Linked DNA regions of Rattus norvegicus. The protein of the gene in region 2 interacts with the protein of the main gene of each other region in a pairwise test. Links are inferred from orthologs where the notes say so. Each region holds a gene or a part of one and is shown on either strand. Other genes may lie near its edges.

The links.
Region 1: the proteins of Trib3 (region 2) and Atf5 interact in a two-hybrid assay, tested with the Homo sapiens proteins (2 studies listed by BioGRID and IntAct). The link is inferred for Rattus norvegicus from reciprocal best matches to the Homo sapiens genes TRIB3 and ATF5.
Region 3: the proteins of Trib3 (region 2) and Atf4 interact in binary tests that used the Homo sapiens proteins (3 or more experiments, as listed by UniProt). The link is inferred for Rattus norvegicus from reciprocal best matches to the Homo sapiens genes TRIB3 and ATF4.

What each region holds. Positions count from the first base shown.
Region 1 is NC_086019.1:104,430,385-104,437,851, reverse strand, and holds Atf5 (cyclic AMP-dependent transcription factor ATF-5), read left to right. Parts: upstream 1-3,056; 5' UTR 3,057-3,073; coding exon 3,074-3,251; intron 3,252-4,503; coding exon 4,504-5,171; 3' UTR 5,172-5,338; downstream 5,339-7,467.
Region 2 is NC_086021.1:161,267,133-161,273,752, forward strand, and holds the end of Trib3 (tribbles homolog 3), read right to left. Parts: intron 4,908-6,620; coding exon 4,615-4,907; intron 3,501-4,614; coding exon 3,020-3,500; 3' UTR 2,807-3,019; downstream 1-2,806. UniProt on the Homo sapiens protein: Inactive protein kinase which acts as a regulator of the integrated stress response (ISR), a process for adaptation to various stress. Inhibits the transcriptional activity of DDIT3/CHOP and is involved in DDIT3/CHOP-dependent cell death during ER stress.
Region 3 is NC_086025.1:113,681,611-113,688,868, forward strand, and holds Atf4 (cyclic AMP-dependent transcription factor ATF-4), read left to right. Parts: upstream 1-3,070; 5' UTR 3,071-3,254; intron 3,255-3,793; 5' UTR 3,794-3,885; coding exon 3,886-4,105; intron 4,106-4,180; coding exon of another isoform or gene 4,181-4,215; coding exon 4,216-5,039; 3' UTR 5,040-5,129; downstream 5,130-7,258. UniProt on the Homo sapiens protein: Transcription factor that binds the cAMP response element (CRE) (consensus: 5'-GTGACGT[AC][AG]-3') and displays two biological functions, as regulator of metabolic and redox processes under normal cellular conditions, and as master transcription factor during integrated stress response (ISR).

The DNA of each region.
Region 1 (7,467 bases), on a different chromosome or scaffold from region 2:
ATTGCCAAGGACTTCCTGCTTGTAACTTTCAAAATCAGTTTTCCTCACCTGCTCCAATCTTTTTTCTTTTACAGTACCAGGAATAGAAACCAGGTCCTGGAAAGCAGCACTCTAGCCAATACTCTGCCACCAATCCCCCACCCCCAGCCCAGTATAATTGTTTTTTTAAATCAGGGTCTTTGTAAGTTCCCTAGAAGGCTAAGAACTCACTTTCTAGTCCAGGCAAGCCATGAACTTTTTTTTTTTAAATCACACTCCTAGTCAGCATTCAGACCTGTCACCACACGTGGTGATGGTGAAGGCCAGAGGACAACCGTCTGTCTATAGAGTTGCTTTTGGGTTCTGGGGATGGAACTCAAGAGGGTTGGGTTTAGAGATTACCACCTGAACTATCTCAAAGCAGCTCAGGCCCTGACCTTGACTTCCAATACTCCCGCCTTGGCCTCTTAAGTAGGTAAGATACCAGGCCTGGCCTTTGAGCTTTTTCTTTTTAAAAACACACTGAGGCCAGCCAGTATGACCTTGAATTCATGATTCCTTCTGCTTCCATCTTCCAAATGCTGGGAATATAGACAACTACCAAGCACCGTCCATGTGGTGCTGGGTGCTAAGGTTCTTGTGTGCAACAGGCAAGCACTCTTGAGTTCCATCTCCACCCATTCAGTCTCTCAGCTGCTACAAATATGATAGGCTGACTGGCTTCCACATGGAATGACGGCTATACTCGAACACGGGGCGGAAAACCGCCCCATCATCCTGGGGGACAGACAGGATCAAGAAACAATTTATCTAGTGGGGTCAGCAAGAGAGCAAGGACTGCAAGGAAGTCAGAGCAAGGGGCAAAACCTAAGAGGGTGGCATGATGAGCACAGCATGTAGCAAGTAGGGATGGCTGGAAACAGAAACCTTGGAGGTGGGACACACAGAATGATCATATGGATATGTTGGCTGGCTAAGAATCGGGGGTAGGGAGATAAAAAGGGGTGAAATCAGGCCCCCTCCCAGGGGTGGGGGCTTAATCTAAAAGAAAATAAAACGATTTTAGTAGTAGATGAAATGACTCAGTGGAGAAAGGCTGCCAAACAATCTGACCTGAGTTCCATCCCTGGGACCCTACTATATAGTAGGAGAACCAACTCCTGCTAGCTCTTCTTTGACCACCACATACATACACAATAAACGTTAAAACAAACAAGAAGGTTTAAGAGTCCTGATTAGGACTCCGTGGCCTACTTTCCATAGCTGGTATATTTGTGCGTATATCTATAAACAGCGACATCTCGCTGTTGCTCCCTTGAACTCGTCTATGAAGCCTAAGCTAGCTTGAACTCGCCATTCCGCGATGAGCTTAACCCACGAGGTCTCTCGGAGCGACATCGGTTTTAGGGACTGGTGGCAAATTTGTGAAGCAGGGATAGATAACGGGATGAGCTGGTTACGGGTGTAAGAGAGATCGAATAGGATCCAACCGATACAGGAAACAGAGTCCGGGCCCCCAGCCTGAAGCAGTGAGTGAAGGGTCAGGGCGACATGGCGGGCCCGGGGTCGCCACCGCCCCGTCGGGGCCCCGCGAGGGCGGAGCGCGGAGGGATCCAGGCATCCCGCGCTGCGCCGCCCCCGGTATATTTGTTCCCAGGCCCCGGGGCCGCCTCATTTTCAACCCTCTCAGCAGTCTCCCTTAACGCTCCTGCCACGCCGCCTCCGCCCGTGCAATGGCTCTGTAGCCGCGATCTCGTCGTGTCCCCCGCCCCGTTTCCGCGCTCACCGCGACTTCACTCTCTGCTCACACCGACTCTTCAACTGAGGCCGCCGCCGCCGTTGCCTCCTCTCCTTTTCGCAGCCATGGAGTGAGTAACCGCTCGCCCCTCCCTCTCCAACCGCCTTTCCCGCCCTTTCACAGAGCTCGCGGGGCTTCACGGGTCAGCCTCGTGGGGAGGGGGTGGGGAAGACGATATGAGGAACCACGGTCGCGCAGGCGCAGAAGAGGGAAGTCGGTGGCCGGCGCATCCGCTGAGCAAGCGCACTAGGCTCCAGGCGTGGGGGAGGGTGTGCTTCCGCAGAGTCTGGGGGCTTTTAAGGTCGGTTCGCGCGCCATTGCGCCTGCGCACTAATTCACAGACCCTCTTCCTCCTTTCCCCTCAGAGGATACGAACCCACACTCTATTGCGCATGCGCATTACCTTATTCCCGGCCTGAACTACGGAGGGCGGCCGGTAATTGGCTAAACACACGCACTGGTCCCCCCAGGAGGGTAGTGGCGTAACAATGAATCCGGTCCAGGGTCTGAGCTTTCGTCTTGCGGCTTAGCGAGCAATCAGCGAGGAAGGGTGGAGTTCCTCGAGGCTCTGACACTGGTCCAACTTCCCTCCAATCAGGCACCTGCTGGGGCGGGGACTGGCTTAGATTGACAGGGAAGGCTAAAGAACACCTTTAAGAAAGACTTGGAGCTAGAACCAAGGGGCGGGGCCTCTAGGGACTTGCTAGTTGGGGGCGGGAACTGACTTGACAGACAGGAGTGTGGGCGGGGCTTCCCGTAGAATCTGTAGAAGTCACCTAAAACTTTTAAGGGAAGAGTGGGATTTGTGTGTGTAACACTGATGAAGGGCCCAAGGCATGGCAGAATTATTCTGGGAACCCCTGTGAACTCTAAAGGGCGTATAGTCTAAAGAAAATATTGATGCGGAAGGGGCACGGCTAGAAGAAAATAAAATTACCTTGGGATTGAATTTTTTTACGAAGAGCAATAAGATGAGGTAGGTAGGAGGGGCTGGAAGTAATTCCCCTGGGAGAACACTAGGTTTCTGTGTTGAGGGAGGAGATGGGGCTGGGGAGTTTCCAAAAGTTGCCTTGGGAATGTATGGAGCTCTGGAATTTGCAGAAAGAAGAAAAGTGTGGGTAGCTTGTGGGTCAAGCAGCTTTGACTCAACCCCACCCACGCCACCTTGTCTTCCTCACAGGCCCTCCACCTTCGCCTTGGTGCCTGTCTTCACCCAGCTGAACAATCTTCCACGCTGCCTCCCAGTTGTTGGTGCAGCCTCCATTGCCATCGCAGCCCTGCACCTGTGCCTCAGCCATGTCACTCCTGGCGACCCTGGGACTGGAGCTGGACAGGGCCCTGCTCCCAGCTAGCGGGCTGGGCTGGCTCGTAGACTATGGGAAACTCCCCCTGGCCCCTGCCCCCCTGGGCCCCTATGAGGTCCTTGGGGGTGCCCTGGAGGGCGGGCTTCCAGGGGGGGGAGAGCCCCTGGCAGGTAAGAAACAGGTGAAAAAGAGAGGTGGGTTAAGGTGGCGGGGTGTGGAAGGACAGAAAAGGAAGGATTTATTCATTCACAAGATCAGTACAGAGGGCCTGCAGTGTGCCCAGCCCTGTTCTTCATGTGCAAGGTGCAGAGCAAGGGATACCAAAGCTCGTGGAAGCATCAGGAGACAGAGGTGGGAAGCCAAAGCTTAGCTGAAAGGAAGACATGGTTGAGAAGTCAGCCTTCTCTAAGTAGACAACCTCTGGATTGAGGGCTAAGGGATGGGCAAAGGGAGCCATGATAAGTCCTGAGGGGAGCGCTATCTCAGAGATTCTGAGGCAGGCAGTCAACAGATGGTTGTCCTAGACTGTGCCTGGTGGCTTATGTCCATAACTTCCCCTGTTAGAGGCTTCTCATCCTCTTGAGCCCAGGCCAACCTAGGCAGCCTGGTAAGAACATAGTTGTCAAACATCTGAGAAACACAAAAGGAGAGCAAATAAAGATGGAGAGAGTCACGCCCACACACGCAAACACACAGAGGGGGGAGGGAGGAGAGAAAGTGTGTGAGTATAATCCCAGCACTCTGGGAGAGAGTCAGAAGTTTAAGGGTTGTCCTCAGCTACAGACTACAGAACAGGTCCAAGGCTATCCTAGTCTACACAAGACTCTGTCGACAATAGATAAGTAAACAAGTGAGGGAAAGAGAGGAGACACTAGTGTGGGGTGCAGTCGACCAACCTGGTCAAGGAGAAGGATTATAGAGATGGGAGCTGACCTTCGTCGGGTGGGCCATTAGTTGGGCGAGTGCTTCACTGAGTGGCTGACTGATTATTTCATCGGTTAGTTGGTCAATTAATCGGTTGGTTGACTGATTTGAATCATTGGTTGGCTTGTTCATTGATTGGCTAATGAGTTGATTAGTTTATTAGCAGGTGGCCTGGTGAACTGATTGGATGATTGGCTGGCTGTCTTGTTCATTGATTAATGATTTGTTGGGTGGTTGGCTGATGAACTAGGTATGATTGGCTGGCTGGCTGGCTGGTTGGTTAGTTCATTAGTTAGTGGCTTGATGGGTAAACTAGCTAGCTGGTTGGTTGATTGGTTGATTAGTTTCTTCCCTAACTCACTGGTTGCTGACAGGTCTATAGATTGGATGGTTGGCTGGCTGGTCACTTGTCACATTGAGTGAATGGGGCATGAATGAACACCAAGTGGATAAAGCACAGACCTTAGAGATTTTTATGTCCTCCCCCCACATCCTCAGGTGACGGCTTCTCTGATTGGATGACCGAGCGGGTGGACTTCACAGCCCTCCTTCCTCTGGAGGCCCCTCTGCCCCCAGGCACTCTCCCCCCACCCTCCCCTGCCCCCCCTGACCTGGAAGCCATGGCATCCCTACTCAAGAAGGAGCTAGAACAGATGGAAGACTTCTTCCTTGATGCCCCACTCCTTCCACCGCCCTCCCCACCTCCACCCCCACCCCCAGCACCCTCTCTGCCCCTGCCCTTACCCTTGCCCACCTTTGATCTCCCGCAGCCTCCTACCCTGGATACCCTGGACTTGCTAGCTGTTTACTGCCGCAGTGAGGCTGGGCCAGGGGATTCAGGCTTGACAACCCTGCCTGTCCCCCAGCAGCCTCCTCCTCTGGCCCCTCTGCCTTCACCCTCCCGACCAGCCCCCTATCCTAGTCCTGCCAGCACCCGAGGGGACCGCAAGCAAAAGAAGAGAGACCAGAATAAGTCAGCTGCTCTCAGGTACCGCCAGAGGAAGCGGGCAGAGGGCGAGGCCCTGGAGGGCGAGTGCCAAGGGCTAGAGGCGCGGAATCGGGAGCTGAGGGAGAGGGCAGAGTCAGTGGAACGGGAGATCCAGTATGTGAAGGATCTGCTAATTGAGGTGTATAAGGCACGAAGCCAGAGGACCCGCAGTGCCTAGGGTACAGGAGGAGGCAGTTCTGGTGTACCTGTGCCTCCAGCTTCACCCTGTCCCTCCATTTCACTTCCCTGTGCATCCGTGTCTAGGTCTCCCCTCTGCCTATCCCCATTATGGGTTATTTGGCATAGTCAGTTTCTGTACCCCTTCAGTGCAACTGAGAAACCAAGGCCCTCAGGGAATCAGAGGAGCCAGCCTGATCCCTGGTCTCTGGAGTCTTAAAACAAGTGTGTTTTTGCAGGTAGTCCTAGTTGGGTGTCGGGGGGAGGCTGCCAGGCCTGGCATGGACATTAGGCAGGAAGCCACTCTGGATGATTGTGCACATGAGAACCTAGTCAGGGAGGGAGGGTTTTAAGGAGAGGACTTAGAATACAAGTGAGAAGCCAGCCGAGGAAAGGGAACCAAGTCCTCAGAATAGAAGGCTATACTGGCCTAGGGACAGGAAGGGGTGGCTGTAGTTGGTAACTAGGGTGTCATTTTAGCTCTGTGAGAGAATCAGTGTTTTGTGAAGGTGTGGGGGAAGGGTTGCATCTGGTGGGGGCTGATCCTCCAGGGGTTGTGGGCTCAAATAAAATGCAGACTTTCCTGTGGCCTGTGTGTCTGTCTTTGAGAGGGGACTGGGGAGACTGAGTCTGGGGGTAGTCATAAAGACAACGGAGAATAAACCAAAGGGCTGGGGCTGAAGCCCTACAGTACCCGTGTGCCTAGCACAAGAGAAAGAAGTTGGGTGTGGTGGCTCATGACTGCAGGCTCAGCATTTGAGGGGCTGAGGAGGAAGGATTGCTCTAAGTGTGAGGCCAGCCTGGGCTACAGAGTGAGGCCATCTCAAACAAAACAATGAAGCCAAACAAAAGGTAACTAGTAACATTTGTTCATTGTCAAGTACACCCACTTGGCAAGAATATGCCATGTGACCAGCCTATCAGTAAAGACAGGGCCATGATGACACCGAGGCTAGTTACAGTTACATTGGCAGCAGAGGACAAACCAAGGGTAATATGGCATATATAGGCAAAGGAGAGTACCATCAAACACAGCTGGATCATTCCAGTCATGGGCAGAGAGGCCTGCAGAGACAGCTCCATTGGCAAAATGCTTGCCCAGCAAGCATAGGACCTGACTTCAATCAAGGATAGGTCCTGCATAAAAGCTATCAGCTGAGTGCACACTGCTTTCACAGAAGACCTGAGTTTGATCTTCAGTAGCCATGCTGGGTAGTTTATGGCCTTGGACCAACCAGTCTGGAGGGACAAAGACTGCTAGTCAGTGAAGTCACAATCTAAGCACATTTTGAGAAGACTCAGAAGAAAGACGTGTCCTAACCAGGACTGCCCTGAGGAAGTTGATTGATATTAGATTCTGCACAGAATACTATTAGTCCAAGAAACAAAAGTTCCTGAGAGTGGGTGCCCCAAAGCAAGCTCTGACCTTAGCTCCTAACTGTGGGAAGGAGCCTGTCTTTAGGGTAAGCACCTGTTTGCTTGAGGGATCACTGTTGCCATAGTAACTGGCCAGCCAAGAGGTACATTTGAGTGTGTTTTATAGTGATCATGTTGAGCCGCGTAACATCTCTTGATGTTAAGGAAATGCAGACTGAGTTACGGGGTTACCCACAGGAACACTTGAATCTGTGAAGCAGGTCTCCAGTAATCCCCTGAAGATAGGGCTATGGATCGTGGCTGCCAGTGGTTCGCCTATGGAGTCAGCATGGCTATAGGAGACTCCAGCACTCTCACTGGAGTGACCAGGTCCCCTGCACCCTGACCTTGCACCCTACTCTGGTTCTGCCCTGAGCTTTCCCATCGTGACAAGTGAGATCCACTAGAACAACTGAGTGAACCCCCAGCACGGCCTGGTAAAGTCCTGTGTGGCAGGTGTCCAAGAGAGTCTGGGTCCAGCCTTCAGCAGATGGCCATGATTTACAGGATGCTCGGTACTGTGCATAGAGGAGCAGGAGGAATGGTCAGGGATCCCGGAAGTGTGAGGAACACCAGCAGGCCAGCGTGGAGCAAATCCCTGGTAAGGCTCATGGCTTGGGTGACCTTAGCCCAGGAATGTGGAGAGTGAGCTTGGCCTGGGGATAATTCTGGCAACCAGGTTTAGGATTGTATCCATGTGCTCCCAAAGCAGCCTCAGGAGGGCTGGCCATGTGGCTCAGTGGTGGAAGGCCCAAGCAGGCACATGGCCCTGGGTTCTGCCCCTAGCCCTGCACACAGGCCTGATAGCATCTGTCATCCCAGCACTCAGGACGTGGATGCAGGAGGATCAGAGGCCAAAGTTTATCTTCAGTTGTAAATTA
Region 2 (6,620 bases):
TAAATAATTCCACCTGGGATCTTCTGGTCACAAATATTCTTGGGTTTTGACAGAAAAGATCATTGTTTATACTTCCCAAATTCTGATATTATAGACACAAATGCCACATTCAGATTGTTTTGTTTTGAAGATTGGGTCTCACTGCATAAACCTAGCCAGTCTGAATAGGCTTTGTAGACCAGGCATGCCTCCAACTTGTGTAATCCTTCCACCCCTACCTACCACATACTGGAATTACAGGAGCTTGCCACAGCCTTTTTAAGTGGCTCCAATATGCACATATATACATGGGTGTATTTATATACATACATCTTTATTATTAGCTACACATTTCCTGCTTCTCCCATCAAGAAGAAATCCACTTTTCTGCCTACCACACTAAGCTCTGCAACAGTTTGTGCATCATCAGACTTGCCCTTTCTTGTCGTGTTTTGGAACCCAGAGACCACCATGTGGCATGATGGCTGAGTCTCCAAAGGATGCTGCAGGATTGATCAGCAACTGGACAGAGCCTCTATAAGGTGTAGGCCACAGAACATTTCCGCCTACATACTTCCTTGGGGTAATTGCCAGGGAGAAGCCATAGGACCATTTTGGGAGTGTGGGGAATGATTAGGTAGACTTTCTAGAAGCTTCTCAAGAAAGAGCAGTGGCGGGGTTGGGGATTTAGCTCAGTGGTAGAGCACTTGCCTAGCAAGCGCAAGGCCCTGGGTTCTGTCCCCAGCTCTGAAAAAAAGGGGGGAAAAAAAAAAAGAGCAGTGGAAACAGCAACTAATGCTTTCCTGCAAGGTGATGATGCCAGGTCCTGCTTGCTCTGAACGGTCTTTTGGTGCTGGGAAGATGGCTCAGGGTTTAAAGCACATGTAAACATGTGAGGACCCGCATTCAGATCCCAGAACCTACATAAATGCCTTGGAAGTGAGAGACGGGATCCCCAGAGCAGCAGGCTGACGGACAAGACTCGCTATATCAGGGAGACCAGGGTTTGACTGAGAGACCCTTCTCAGTCAGGCAGTGGTGGCACTTGCCTTTAGTCCCAACACTGAGGAGACAGACACAGGCGGATCTCTGAGTTTGAAGCCAGCCTGGTTTACAGAGCAAGTTCCAGGGCAGTAGAGACTACACAGAGAAACCCTGTCTTGGAAAGAGAAAGAGGGAAGGAGGGAGGGAGGGAGGGAAAGAGAGGAGAGAGAGACCCTCTTCAAGGAATAAGGTGGAGGAGGAAGAGTAATTAAGGACAATCCAATTTATCTACCTCCAGCCTCTGTGCACCCTCATACGCGTGCATGTGCTCACGTGTGTGCACATACACACACACACACACACACACACACACACACACACACACACACGATATGGAAAAGAAAAAAAGAGCCCATAGTTGTCTCGTAGGTTGGATCCTATTCTCTGCTTTTCCAGATGAAGAACCTGAGGTATATACAATGGTAAAGAACTTGCTGAGGGGGGTTGGGGATTTAGCTCAGTGGTAGAGCGCTTGCCTAGGAAGCGCAAGGCCCTGGGTTCGGTCCCCAGCTCCGAAAAAAAGAACCAAAAAAAAAAAAAAAAGAACTTGCTGAGGGTCCATCCAACAACTGGTGTGTTGTGGACAGACTGCACGTGGGGCAGCCTGACTCTCAAGTGTTCATAAGTGTGGCAGTGCCACTTCTCTTTGTGCAGTGTGACATAAGTGCCAGCTGCCTCCATGGAAACCAGCAAGAACTGAAGGAGTCAAGAAAGCAGGCATTCTGACAACAGCCTGGAGAGCCAGACTGACCTGCCCTGAAACTATCCTGTTCACTGACCTGTCTTTATGCAAAGTGTGTTCCTTCCGGTTTAAACTGGTGCCCCTTTGGGCCGAGGATGGAGCCCCATAATCCTGAGTGTGTTAGATGTGCTTACACCTGAGCTGAACCCCAGCCCTCAGCTTAGAAAGTTCCCCTCTGGGGTTGGGGATTTAGTTCAGCGGTAGAGCGCTTGCCTAGCGACCGCAAGGCCCTGGGTTCGGTCCCCAGCTCCGGAAAAAAAAAGAAAAAAAAAGAAAGTTCCCCACCTGAGACCCAAGGTCTCTAGAAGAAAAGGTGTGTACAGGGAGATCAGTAGGAGAATTCTCTCACAAGCCACTTGGTAGGGGCTGGGCTGTACCTGGCTTTCATGGTGGGGCCAGTGTTGAAGGCAGGGAAAGTCGCCAAGGATGTTAGGAGGTAGAGCTCTCTCACATGTAAAACCACACAGCTCTCTTTTATTGGGCACATGGTGAAAATACATACTCAACCAAACCAAAGTCATCAAACTGACAGCAGTCCTGGATACTAAGAATCCCAAGAGCAGGGCCTGAGACTCTAAATGGCAATAGGACAGTCCCTGCCTGGTCCTTCCCCCTCCAACTTTGATGCTCCAGCTGGAGGCTACCAGGGTAGACAGACCTGGATCCTCATTCTAGACCATTCTTTGAGCCAGATGCCTCTTTATTGGAGTCTCATCCTTTTGGCTTGAGTCCAGCAGCCAGGTCTTCAAGCAGGTTCTCCTGCCTGGAGGCCACAATCCCAGCTTGGCCTCACTTGTGGCCCCAAGGCACAGGGTGAATGGGGACTTTGGTCTTTGGCACAGAGATGTTCCCTTTGTTTAAAGGCACAAGACAGAAGGCAGCTGGGGCACTGATGAAAGGGACTGTCCCATGAACAGAAGCCTAGCACCAGACCAGAGAAGGCCAGCCCTGGTATGAAATATGCCCCGGGCAGAGGGTAGATGCTGGCCTGGGAGCATGTGGCACTGTGGTAACTCGGCCAGCAAGGTATGCTTCTCCCTCTTTTTTTTTTTTCTTTGCTGTTCACAGCACCTAGAACAGGGCTTGTCATCCAGACAGCATCACCCCACTGTGCACAGGAATGCATGAAGCACAATGGCTGTTTCTTCCTCCAGAAAGGCACTTACAGTTTAGCTTGGCCCAAAAAGGCAGGCGAAAGCTGAGACACCAGTACTCAACTCACACCTTGGAGCTGAAGGGCCAGTTAAGGTGGCTCTAGCCATACAGCCCCACCTCCCCTTCCTCTGCCTCCTCCAGCTGTGGCCCATCTGGGACAACCTGGTCCATCTCCCTTCGGTCAGACCGTGGAGGAGAGACTTGGCTGCAATCCTCCCTCAACCAGGGATGTAGCAGGATTCCCAGGGCCACAAGTCGCTCTGAAGGCTCCCTGCGGAGGAGACAGCGGATGAGGCATCGAGCAGAGGCTGATAGGCCCTCAGGCAGGGCAAAGGTCCCTCTACGGATCTTGCCAAAGAGCAGGGCTGGTTCAGAGTCCTGGAACGGGTATCGGCCAGCCAGCATGGTGAAGAGCGCCACGCCCAGGCTCCAGACATCAGCCGCTCTGCCGGAGTAGGATGGCCGGGAGCTGAGTATCTCTGGTCCCACATAGGCAGGGCACGCGTGCTTGTCCCACAGAGAGTCGTCTGGTCCAGTCATCACACAGGCATCCTCCAGGTTCTCCAGCACCAACTTCGTCCTGGGTCACAGACAGAAAGATCAGGTCCTACTCAGGTCCTCTGGAAAAGCAGCCACTAAGCCATCTCCCCACTCTGTATTTTATTTTATTTTATTTTATTTTATTTTATTTTATTTTATTTTATTTTATTTTATTTTATTTTATTTTTGGCCAGGTGTTAGTGGTGGGGTGGGTCTGTTTCTCAGAAAAAGGATTTTACTACGTTGTCCAGTCTGGGCTTATTACTATCCTCCTGTCTCTGCCTCCTGAGCGCTTGTTTGGTTTGGTTTGGGCTTTGAAGGGTCAGAGTCTTACCTACCTCTGACTGTCCTGGAACTCTGTAGACCAGGCTGGCCTTGAACTCAGAGATCAGACTGCCTCTGCCTTCTGAGTGAGCCATCACCACTTAGCTTCTTTCTTTTTTCATTTATTTTTATTATATTTTACGCAAATGGGTGTTTTCCCTGCCTGTATGTTTGGCACCATGAGCATGCAGTGCCTGTGAAGAGTTTGTCAGATACCTTGGACTTGGAGTTATAGGTGATTGTTAGCCACGGTGTGGGCTGGGAACTGAATATGGGTCCTTTGCTTGCAATGTGTACTTTAACCACTGACTCATCTCTACAACTCTTCCCTCCCCCAGCACACTTTTTTTTTTCTGAGACAGGATCTCATAGCCTGAGACATAGCCCTGACTGGGCTGAAACTCACCCTGTAGACCTAGCTGACCTCCAGTTCACAGAGATCCCATTTACCTCTGCCTCAGCCAGGATTTAAAGGTGTATGCTACCACCCGCAGCTATTCCTTTAGTCCTTATTTAATTTGAAACAGTAGCTCACCAATTGAATAAACTAGCTGGCCAGTGATCTCTGGGGATCCACCTGTCTCTGCCCCTTGCCCCCATGCTCAGGTGGTAGGGCTACAGATTCCACGGAACAGCTGTCACTCAGCGCTGGGGATTTCTTTCCCTGTCTTTCTTTTGCTGCTGAGGATCGAATGCAGAGCCTTCCACATGCTAAGCACAGGTATACCACTGAGCTGTACCTTAGCTCTTCCTAGGTTACTCTACTCTCCTGGACCTCACTTTCCCCACCATGGCCTACCTCTCAAGTGTGCCTCTGGGGTCACACTCACCTCTCACAGTTGCTGAAGACAAATCGACGCAACTTGAGGTCGCGCAAGATGAGCCCGTGCTTGTGGCAGTGTGCCACCGCACTAGCCATCTGTCGGAAAAGCGCGGCAGCCTCGGGCTCGGGGATACCGCGGCGGCTGCGCACCAGACTGTGCAAGTCCCCATGGGTCTTCGTGAAAAAGGTGTATAGGAGCTGAGAGCCCAGCAGGACCTCTGTGGGACGGGCCACGTGCTGGTGGGTAGGCAGTCTTGCATACGGTGCCAGCACCGCCTGGGCCTCGCTGGCGGGATACACCTGCGAACAGAGTCAGGAGTAAGCACCAAGGACCTAGCAAGTTAGGCTGGCTCAGCAAAAGGCGACAGCCAATTCTGTGAGCTACACCTACAGAGGCCCTTGCTTAGCAAATCACTCATAGACAAATATCAGCCGATTCTCCACAAAACCACAAGTCAGGAGAGCCCGGGGCCACAAGGCCAGCAAGTATCACATTTGGGACTAGAACCTGTGCACCCATCTCTGCTTTAAGTCACCTGGTGTGACTTAGGCCTCAGAAACTAGGATGTAACCTAGACAAAAAACGGATCCTGGAGGCAGATCACCACTGTAATCCCCCTTTTCCCACACATCCAGTCTAAGAACAGCTCAGTAGCCTGTATGCCGCCCCTGCTCCGCTGACTAGACTCACAGCCATTGCTCCTGTTCTCCTGGTGTCTACAGTGCAGCACAAGCAAGCCATAACCATATATTCCAAAGAAAGATGCTAGAATCCGGAATTTTTTTTTTTTTTACCTCTCCCGGAAAATTTTATATTGCAATCTCGGACTTAAACTAGTCTTTACTAGGAAAGTGTGGGTTGTTATTTTAGAAGGGAGCACCTATTTTAAAAGTGCCATCCTGACATTGTAGTTTAATCCCAGGACTCAGGAAGCAGAGGCAGTGGCTCTCTGACTTTGAGGCTTAGCCTGGTCTACAAAGTAGCCAGAGCTATGCAGGTGAGACTCTGATTCAGAAAAAAAAAAAATGTGGACCTACTTGACTTAGGAAAAGTGGCCCAAATGATCCAAAGACACCACAGGAAAAAGCTCCCCTGTGTTGGGGGCACAAGCAGTGCAAAGGCCCTGAGGTAATCAAGACATCAACCTGTTCTCAAATTGCAGGCAAAGCTCGAAGGTGGCCAGGAGGACGAGGGAGGCAGTCATATGGGTGGGCCATGAGGCAGCTGGGAACAGCTCAGAGTTTGTGGATACAAACACCTGGAAGGAGGGCCCAGTTATGATGGAGAAAGAAACCAAAGTTCAGAAAAAGGAAGTGGCCTGTGAGAGGCCACCCTGGATGCCTGCTAGAAGCTAGTGTCACAGAGTTGATGTGGCACTTTGTTGCTTTTGACTTTAAACTCAGGTGTGCTGTAAAACGTGAACCATGGGACCTTAAAAGAAAGATCTAGGGTAGCACGGAGGAAATAAATACACAGACTACCCTTTCTTTCTCCCCCAGAGCTTGGTCCTGTCCCGGCACCTTTGCACAGGAGAAGGGGTGAGCTCTCTGAGACAAGGTCTCTCTGTGTCTCTGTGGCTGTCCTGAAACTCAGTAGGTAGACCAGGCTGGCCTCGAACTTACAAAAATACACCACTCAAGTGCTGCAATTAAAGGTGAGTATCAATGTGGTTGGCCCTTTGTGCCTCCTATACCCACAGCGGGGACACACTGCCTTTGGACCCTCCTCCCCATGCCTCCTTCAACTTCTGACACGGCCGCCCTTTATCATCTTCGAGGCCCTCCCAGACTGCCTTATGCTCCCCTGCATCCCTACGTGTCTCCTCCTCTCTTTGCTTCTCCCTCCCCACTGACACCAGCTTCTTTTCCATCATTGCCCATGCTCTTCTGCTGTGTGCACATGTGTGTGTGTGCACATGTGTGTGTAAGTGTGCACGTGTGTGTGTGTGTGTGTGTTCTTGTGGCAGGCAGAGGAAAGCCTCTGTTGTCATTTCTCAGATTCCATCCCATCTT
Region 3 (7,258 bases), on a different chromosome or scaffold from region 2:
GTTGGCCGTGCCACCGCTCTGCCTTGCTCTCCAATTACTCCCATTTTTGCCTGGAGGAAATGCCACTGTTAGGCCCCTACTTCTGTCTGGGAGGTATTTACTGCTCATTACCCCGGTAACCACGTAAATCCAGGTTTATTTTGCTTCTTCTCTGTTGCTCTTTCCCAAAAACAGAATTGAGGATAGCAGTATTTTTCTTTGTATTAACAGTTGAGACTTAAGAATAAAGATAGAAAAACTGTCGGAGTGGCCCAGCATCTGGAGTTGACCCTGGCTGACTTTGCTCCACTGTAATCCACTGAAGGGCCCGAATGGCTAAGATGACTCAGCTTTAGGCTGGGGGTCCTGAGAGCAGGATGCACCGTGTGTTCAGAGCCTTCTACCAAGGTACACTTCCTTGGGATTTTGACTTGATAAAACCAAGAACATCTGCTACAACTCTAGATTTTTTAGTATAAAGCTCAAGGCCGAGGTAAATGATGAGGCACTTGGGAACAGAGTTGACCCTCGTACCAGGCTGGGCGGTTGTAAGCCTCTCAGACTAAGTGTCCAGAATACCAGCATGTAGAGTTCTATATTTAACTGCAGGTGGGAGTGAGGCGGGTGTCAACTTTTATTTTGATCACCTTGTAGTCTTTAAACCCTTGGTCTCAGGCCAGGTCCACAACTTGCCTTCCAGTCACTTGCCTGCCCTTCTCTGGTGGTCATTGTGTTAAGCTGGTAGTCACTAATCTTTGTGTCCTATCTTGACTGGGCCCATGTAGGAGCAGCTTAGCTCTAAGGCCCAGAGAACCTTTATTCCTTTTTGCTCCTTGAAGGAGAGGAATTGAACTGGTGAAAACAGCGTCTTCTGCAGCATGGGAAGAAGAAAATAAAAATCTCCTTTCCAACAACTCTGACTTGTGTATGTAGTATCAGGTATTTTCTTACATGGTGCTAGGATTAGGATGGGGGGAAAGAAGCCACCAGACATTCTCCTATGATCTCTATAATGTCAAATCAGGGTCAATGGTTTTAAACCTCTGTATGACCAACCTGTATGTTCAGGAGCCTTTGGTTAGAGCTGAGAAAAAAAAACATTTCCTTGACTGTTTGGTTAAGCAAACTTTATTTAGACTGGCCAGCCAAGCAGCCCCTCACTGGTGTTGGAGGTCCCTTTTATGGGAAAACATTAGGGTTGATAGAAAACAGCTGTTGGGATAATTGGCTGTTAGCACCTGAACAGAAGAGTGGGGGACTCAAGACTGCCTGTGGGGTAGAAGCATGTGATAGGAAACAGCTGTCAGGATAATTAGCTGTTAGAAAGGCGGCCATAAAAAGAAGTGCAAGCTTGTGCCATGTGGAAGGTTTCTGGGGAGACACAGTTTTGTATAGCAAGAGGCAGTCATGTATCACAGGTTCAGGAGTTTAGCAAATACATCACGGGGTTACAAATTCAGCATAAGTTAAAAAACATTTGTAGGATACATTACACTTAGGGGACAGAAACATGTAAGGGATGTCTACTTAACAATATAACTGTGGCTCCTGTTTCTGTTTCCAGAGCAAAGGGAGGACATAGTTATCCTTTGCATGGAGAGACTAGGAAACTTCTGTTTGTGTGCACATGTACTCATGACTTCTTTGTCGATAGAAACATCTCATTATGTAGGCCTTGTGCGTTATTTATTTAGTTGCTTTAGTCTCAGTAAATAATAATGAAAGGTCCTCTGAGGAAGGAAGATGAATCATGGAGTTAGGGAGAGAGGGACTTGGGAATTAGGTTTGAATTAATAAATAGCAATCAATAACCATGTAATCAAGGATGACCTTGAACCATGGTGCCCGAGTGCTAGGATTGTGTGTACTGGAGTACTTGGCTTGCAAATAATTACTGAGCAGTAAGGGGCGGGCACTGTGCCAATTGAGTGGTATTTGTATGAGTCACTTAAAAAGACGTGGAAACTCAAAAGATTGCAGGCTGGAGTTGGGAAGAGGGCCTCTCAGCACTTCCAAAACAGCATCCTTTATGGTGAGTTGTCCTTGACCAGTACTTGGGGCTTCCAACCACTTAAGCAGCTGCTCACTCACCAGGATGACTTCTTGGTAAGGCTATACCAGGAAGTTAAGACTTGGGAGTTAATCAGAACTACTCTAGGGCTTGAGATCCAACTGAATAAAACACAATATTAAGGGAACTGACCCTATACAAACCAGCAGTGATGGGCATATTTTAGAGTAGGTTAGATCTAAGGTTAGGTATATTTTCCCAGTACAGGATTCAGAGGAAAGATGCAGGGCTGGAGGAACCGGAGTATCTCCCAATAAGGCCCCAACATGAACGCCCTGTCTCAAAGTGCGGTCCCTGGACTGACAGGATTGGACCAGGTAACTCCAGAGGACCTTTCTATATGCCTAAAGCTCTGCCCATTTGGTTCTGAGAACAACAAATACAGGGAAAGAGGGCTTTCAGCCCAAGTGTCACTCCTGGAAAGCTGTTTGCTCCGTGCTGGACCAAAGCTGCCCGGGAGCGATGCCGGAGAGAGCAACTACATTGGGGTGACCTCTGATGAGTCGGTAGCTGTAAGAGTCTGGTACCCGGAACCTCTGGTGGCTCTTCCCGATATTAGTGCTCCTAGGGCGCCCAGGTTCAGAGCCAATAGAAACTTAAGGTTTAGATGACTCGTCACGCCTGGGCCAATCAGCTCGACGCGCGCTCCTACGGCGTCTCGCGTGATAACCAGGCAGCTTTGGCTTTGACCGTCATAGCTTTGGTTAGGTGTCTCTCCACGCCCTGTAAGACACCGGAAGTTCCGTAACGAGCGATCCCTCCGCACTCCGGAACGTGACTTCAGTTGGTCGCAAACCTATAAAGTAGTGCACTTTTCTTCCTTCATGGGGCCTTCAGGATACTCTGTAACGCCCCAGTTACTCCCCGAGCACAGCGGAGAAGGGTTTGGACGGGCCAGAGCGTCAATGGGATAGGGTTAGGTGGAGCGGCGGCGGGATCACGTGACCACGGTGGGAGGATACGGGGTGTACTGCGTCCCTCACCGATTCTATAAAAGGCGGGTTTAGGGCGTGTCGCCGCCATTTCTGCTTGCTCTGTGGTAGATGTCTCTCTGTACGCTGTTCCTTTCCTCTTCCCCTCCCGCAGGGCTTGCGGCCACCATGGCGTATTAGAGGCAGCAGAGCCTGCGGCAGCGTTGGCCTTTGCAGCGGCGGCAGCAGCACCAGGCTCTGCAGCGGCAACCCCCACCGGCTTAAGCCATGGCGTGAGTATTGGGCCGACTGCGCGGGCGTGTGCTTTGCTGTGTTTGGGTGCGGCCTGGGCGCGTTGACCAGCATACGCGGCTTTACAAGCGGCCAGACGCGTCGGCCTTGTTTGGGTGGCCCCGCAACGCCGGCGCACACGGGGAGGGTTGGGCAGGCGGCGTGGAGGGAGTAGTGCCTAAAACCCTGCTACTTCCTCTTCGTCCTCTCTTAACTTAGTCGTCTCGCGCCCCCCCGGGTTCCCGGTGTCATTCTGCGAACGTGGCGAGGCCAAGATGGCGGTGGGGCGGGGGGGGGGTGTGAGTCACGGGGGCGGGGCGCGACGGCCTTGGCCGTATTAGGACTTGAGGACAAGCTGCTTCCTCCGGGTGGCCGGTGAAGCAAAGCTAAGCCTCCATCTTGTGCAACCCGAGCTGGCGGCTGGGGAAGCTTACACAATGGCCTTGAGCCCACGTGCTCTCCATTTAGAAGCTTTTGGGATTTTGTCATCCAGCATCCTAGATAGAAAGATGATTGAACTTGCTTTTGGATCCTTATGCAGGCTCTTCACGAAACCCAGCAGCAGCGTTGCTGTAACGGACAAAGATACCTTCGAGTTAAGCACATTCCTCGATACCAGCAAATCCCTACAACATGACCGAGATGAGCTTCCTGAACAGCGAAGTGTTGGCGGGGGACTTAATGTCCCCCTTCGACCAGTCGGGTTTGGGGGCTGAAGAAAGCCTAGGTCTCTTAGATGACTATCTGGAGGTGGCCAAGCACTTCAAACCTCATGGGTTCTCCAGCGACAAGGCGGGCTCCTCAGAATGGCTGGCTATGGATGGGTTGGTCAGTGCCTCAGACACCGGCAAGGGTGAGTAGGGAGGACACCTGCACCAGTGTGCTCTTTTCATGTGGGTTTGGTGTTCTAAAGGTTTTCTGCCTCTAGTATGAACCGTTCTCTCCTGAAATTTTTTTCCCCAGAGGATGCCTTTTCCGGGACAGATTGGATGTTGGAGAAAATGGACCTGAAAGAGTTTGACTTCGATGCTCTGTTTCGAATGGATGACCTGGAAACCATGCCAGATGAGCTTTTGGCCACGTTGGATGACACATGTGATCTTTTTGCCCCTCTAGTCCAAGAGACTAATAAGGAGCCCCCTCAGACAGTGAACCCAATTGGCCATCTCCCAGAAAGTGTAATAAAAGTCGACCAGGCTGCCCCCTTTACATTCTTGCAGCCTCTTCCCTGTTCCCCAGGGTTTCTGTCTTCCACTCCAGATCATTCCTTTAGTTTAGAGCTGGGAAGTGAGGTTGATATCTCTGAAGGAGATAGGAAGCCTGACTCTGCTGCTTATATTACTCTAACCCCTCAGTGTGTAAAGGAGGAAGACACTCCCTCTGATAGTGACAGTGGCATCTGTATGAGCCCTGAGTCCTACCTGGGCTCTCCCCAACACAGCCCTTCCACCTCCAGGGCCCCACCAGACAGTCTGCCTTCTCCAGGTGTTCCTCGTGGTTCTCGACCCAAACCTTATGACCCACCTGGAGTTAGTGTGACAGCTAAAGTGAAGACTGAAAAGTTGGATAAGAAGCTGAAAAAGATGGAGCAAAACAAGACAGCAGCTACTAGGTACCGCCAGAAGAAGAGGGCTGAGCAGGAAGCCCTCACTGGCGAGTGTAAAGAGCTAGAAAAGAAGAACGAGGCTCTGAAAGAGAAGGCAGATTCTCTCGCCAAAGAGATTCAGTATCTAAAAGACCTGATAGAAGAGGTCCGTAAGGCAAGGGGGAAGAAGAGAGTTCCTTAATAGGGTAGTCAGGTGCTTTGTGCTTGTACATAGTCTTGTGATGCTGTGTTTGCTGTAATAAATTATTTTGTAGTGAAAGTAGCCATGGAAGTTTTCTGTGTCATTCTTTCTAATAGACTGCACAAGGTCTGGGTTGAATACGATAGCTACCTGGATGAGTTGAGCTGTTCAGGTAGTGAGACAGGTAAAGACTAGCTGGAGGGAGGGGGCTCTGGGTTAGTGAGGGCCAGCCCAGAATTGCACCTGTTCATACTGGCCTTGTGCCAGATACCTGCTGTGTAAGTACCTAGATAAGGTACAGTCCTTGAACACAAAGAGGATTAGGTTTCTCTTAGGCTTAAGGGATACAGCTACTATTTCCTGTGACAGGTGGCAAGCCCCACTCCAACCCTTCAGTTTGTTACTACAGATCCTCCCAAGGCGAGGTAAAAAGCCTACCATCACCCTCAACATTATTCCATTTGGCCCAGGGGCAGCTTAATCCAGCACAAGGATATGGTGGGGGGAGGAAGGGCCTGAGTGACAGCGGGGCAGAAACTGGTGGAGGCCCTTGGAGACAATGACTAACCTTCACTTGGCAGATGTTCTTTGTGCGTGAGAACTACAGCTGTTCCACTTCTATGTAATGTCACATGTCCACCCTGGCAATGCTCTAAACAGGGTTTCCCATAGCCCAGGTTGACCTTGAACTTGATATGTGGCCAGGGATGACCTTGAACCTTCCAAGTGCTGGGGTTATAGACCGTGTGTCACCACACCTGATCTGTTAGGTGCACCCTGAGGTAAAAGACCCAAAGAGTCAGCTAAGATCTAGCCACCCTCACCATGGTGACTTACAGCCCTTGCCAGGTATTGACAAAAGACTGGAAGTACTGTTTAGCCAGCTCAGACTGGAGCTGTTCTGGGTGCCCATTAGTTGGCAGAGAATGGCCTTCAGTTTTCCTATCACTGGTGATTGCTCAGCATGCACTACAAACTATCAGGGATGCCAACTGAACACAAGATGAACAGCTCAGCTTTTGTGAAACTTGCCTTCTAAGACAGAGGTCCAACGAAGGGCTGGCAGGCTGGGTGGAGGACCTGATCTAGGAGGAGTGTGCTGGGGGCAGGGAACAAGGTGGGGCCCGGGTGTGGGTAGGATGATACAGCAGCAGCCCCACTTCTGCGGCAGGCTTTTGGCTCACCCTTGTTGGCGAGCAGAAGCTAGGCTGTGTTGGCCAGTGAGGTGGATGTAGAAGACCCAAGTAAGGAGTCTTCTACTGCAGCGAGACCCATGCTGAGCACCTACTCAGGCAGTCGACAGGATGGACTGGGGATCTTTGCCATGGTGGACGGCAGGTAAATGCTAAAACCAGCATAGAAATAGACCAGCTCAGGTTGGGGGAATTGCAGACTGCTGGCCTTTAAGAAGGGGATTGTGTATAGAGGGTGAATACCAGCTCATCTATTTAGAACCTGACCAGCTTCAGTTCACCTTGACCTAAGCTCTCCCTACCCCACAAGCAAGACCACTCTAGGCAAGTCTGGTGTCCTGGTGGCTGGCCCTGAGTCCCCAAGACCACCAGTGGCAGTCCTGCTCCACTCTATACAGCTCTCTTGACTCACAGAGGACAGGCAGTTGTGGATGATCCAGTCTATAGCAGAAGCCACAGGAAGCATGGGGGTGGGGCAGCAGCTCTCCAAGTCCAGATCATCAAATTTTTTAACTGGCCTAAATGTTTGATCTTTGCATCTATTTGGGACCTTAGTTGGGGTAGGCTTTCCTTTGCTAGACCCCCATTGAGCTGAATACAACAGGTGTTCTTATATCAGGCCACTGGTTGGCAAGGCTTGGGATAATGATCTGCACTCCATCTTCCTTCTCAGCAGCCAAGAGGAGGCCTTATACAAGGGAAGGTACAGGATCTCTGCTTGCATCCTCTAGGTGACCATGTGGCCAAAGGTGTATGCTCTCTAGAAGGGGGCCTTAGAGAATAAGCATTGAGCAGTTTGGTAAGCATCTTATTTGAGGAGGAGGATATAAGTCTCCAAGGCCACTTGAATCTGCTGCTCTGAAGGTCAGCAAAACCCAGCAAGCAGGCAGATGGGGTGGAGGATTTATAGACCAGCACCCATGTCCCTTTGAACAACCCACGTCAGAGGACAGCCCATTGCCACGGAGGGCCCAGTGCTCCCATCACTAGCCCATATTAAATCACACTACCTCCCTCCTGAGTTCT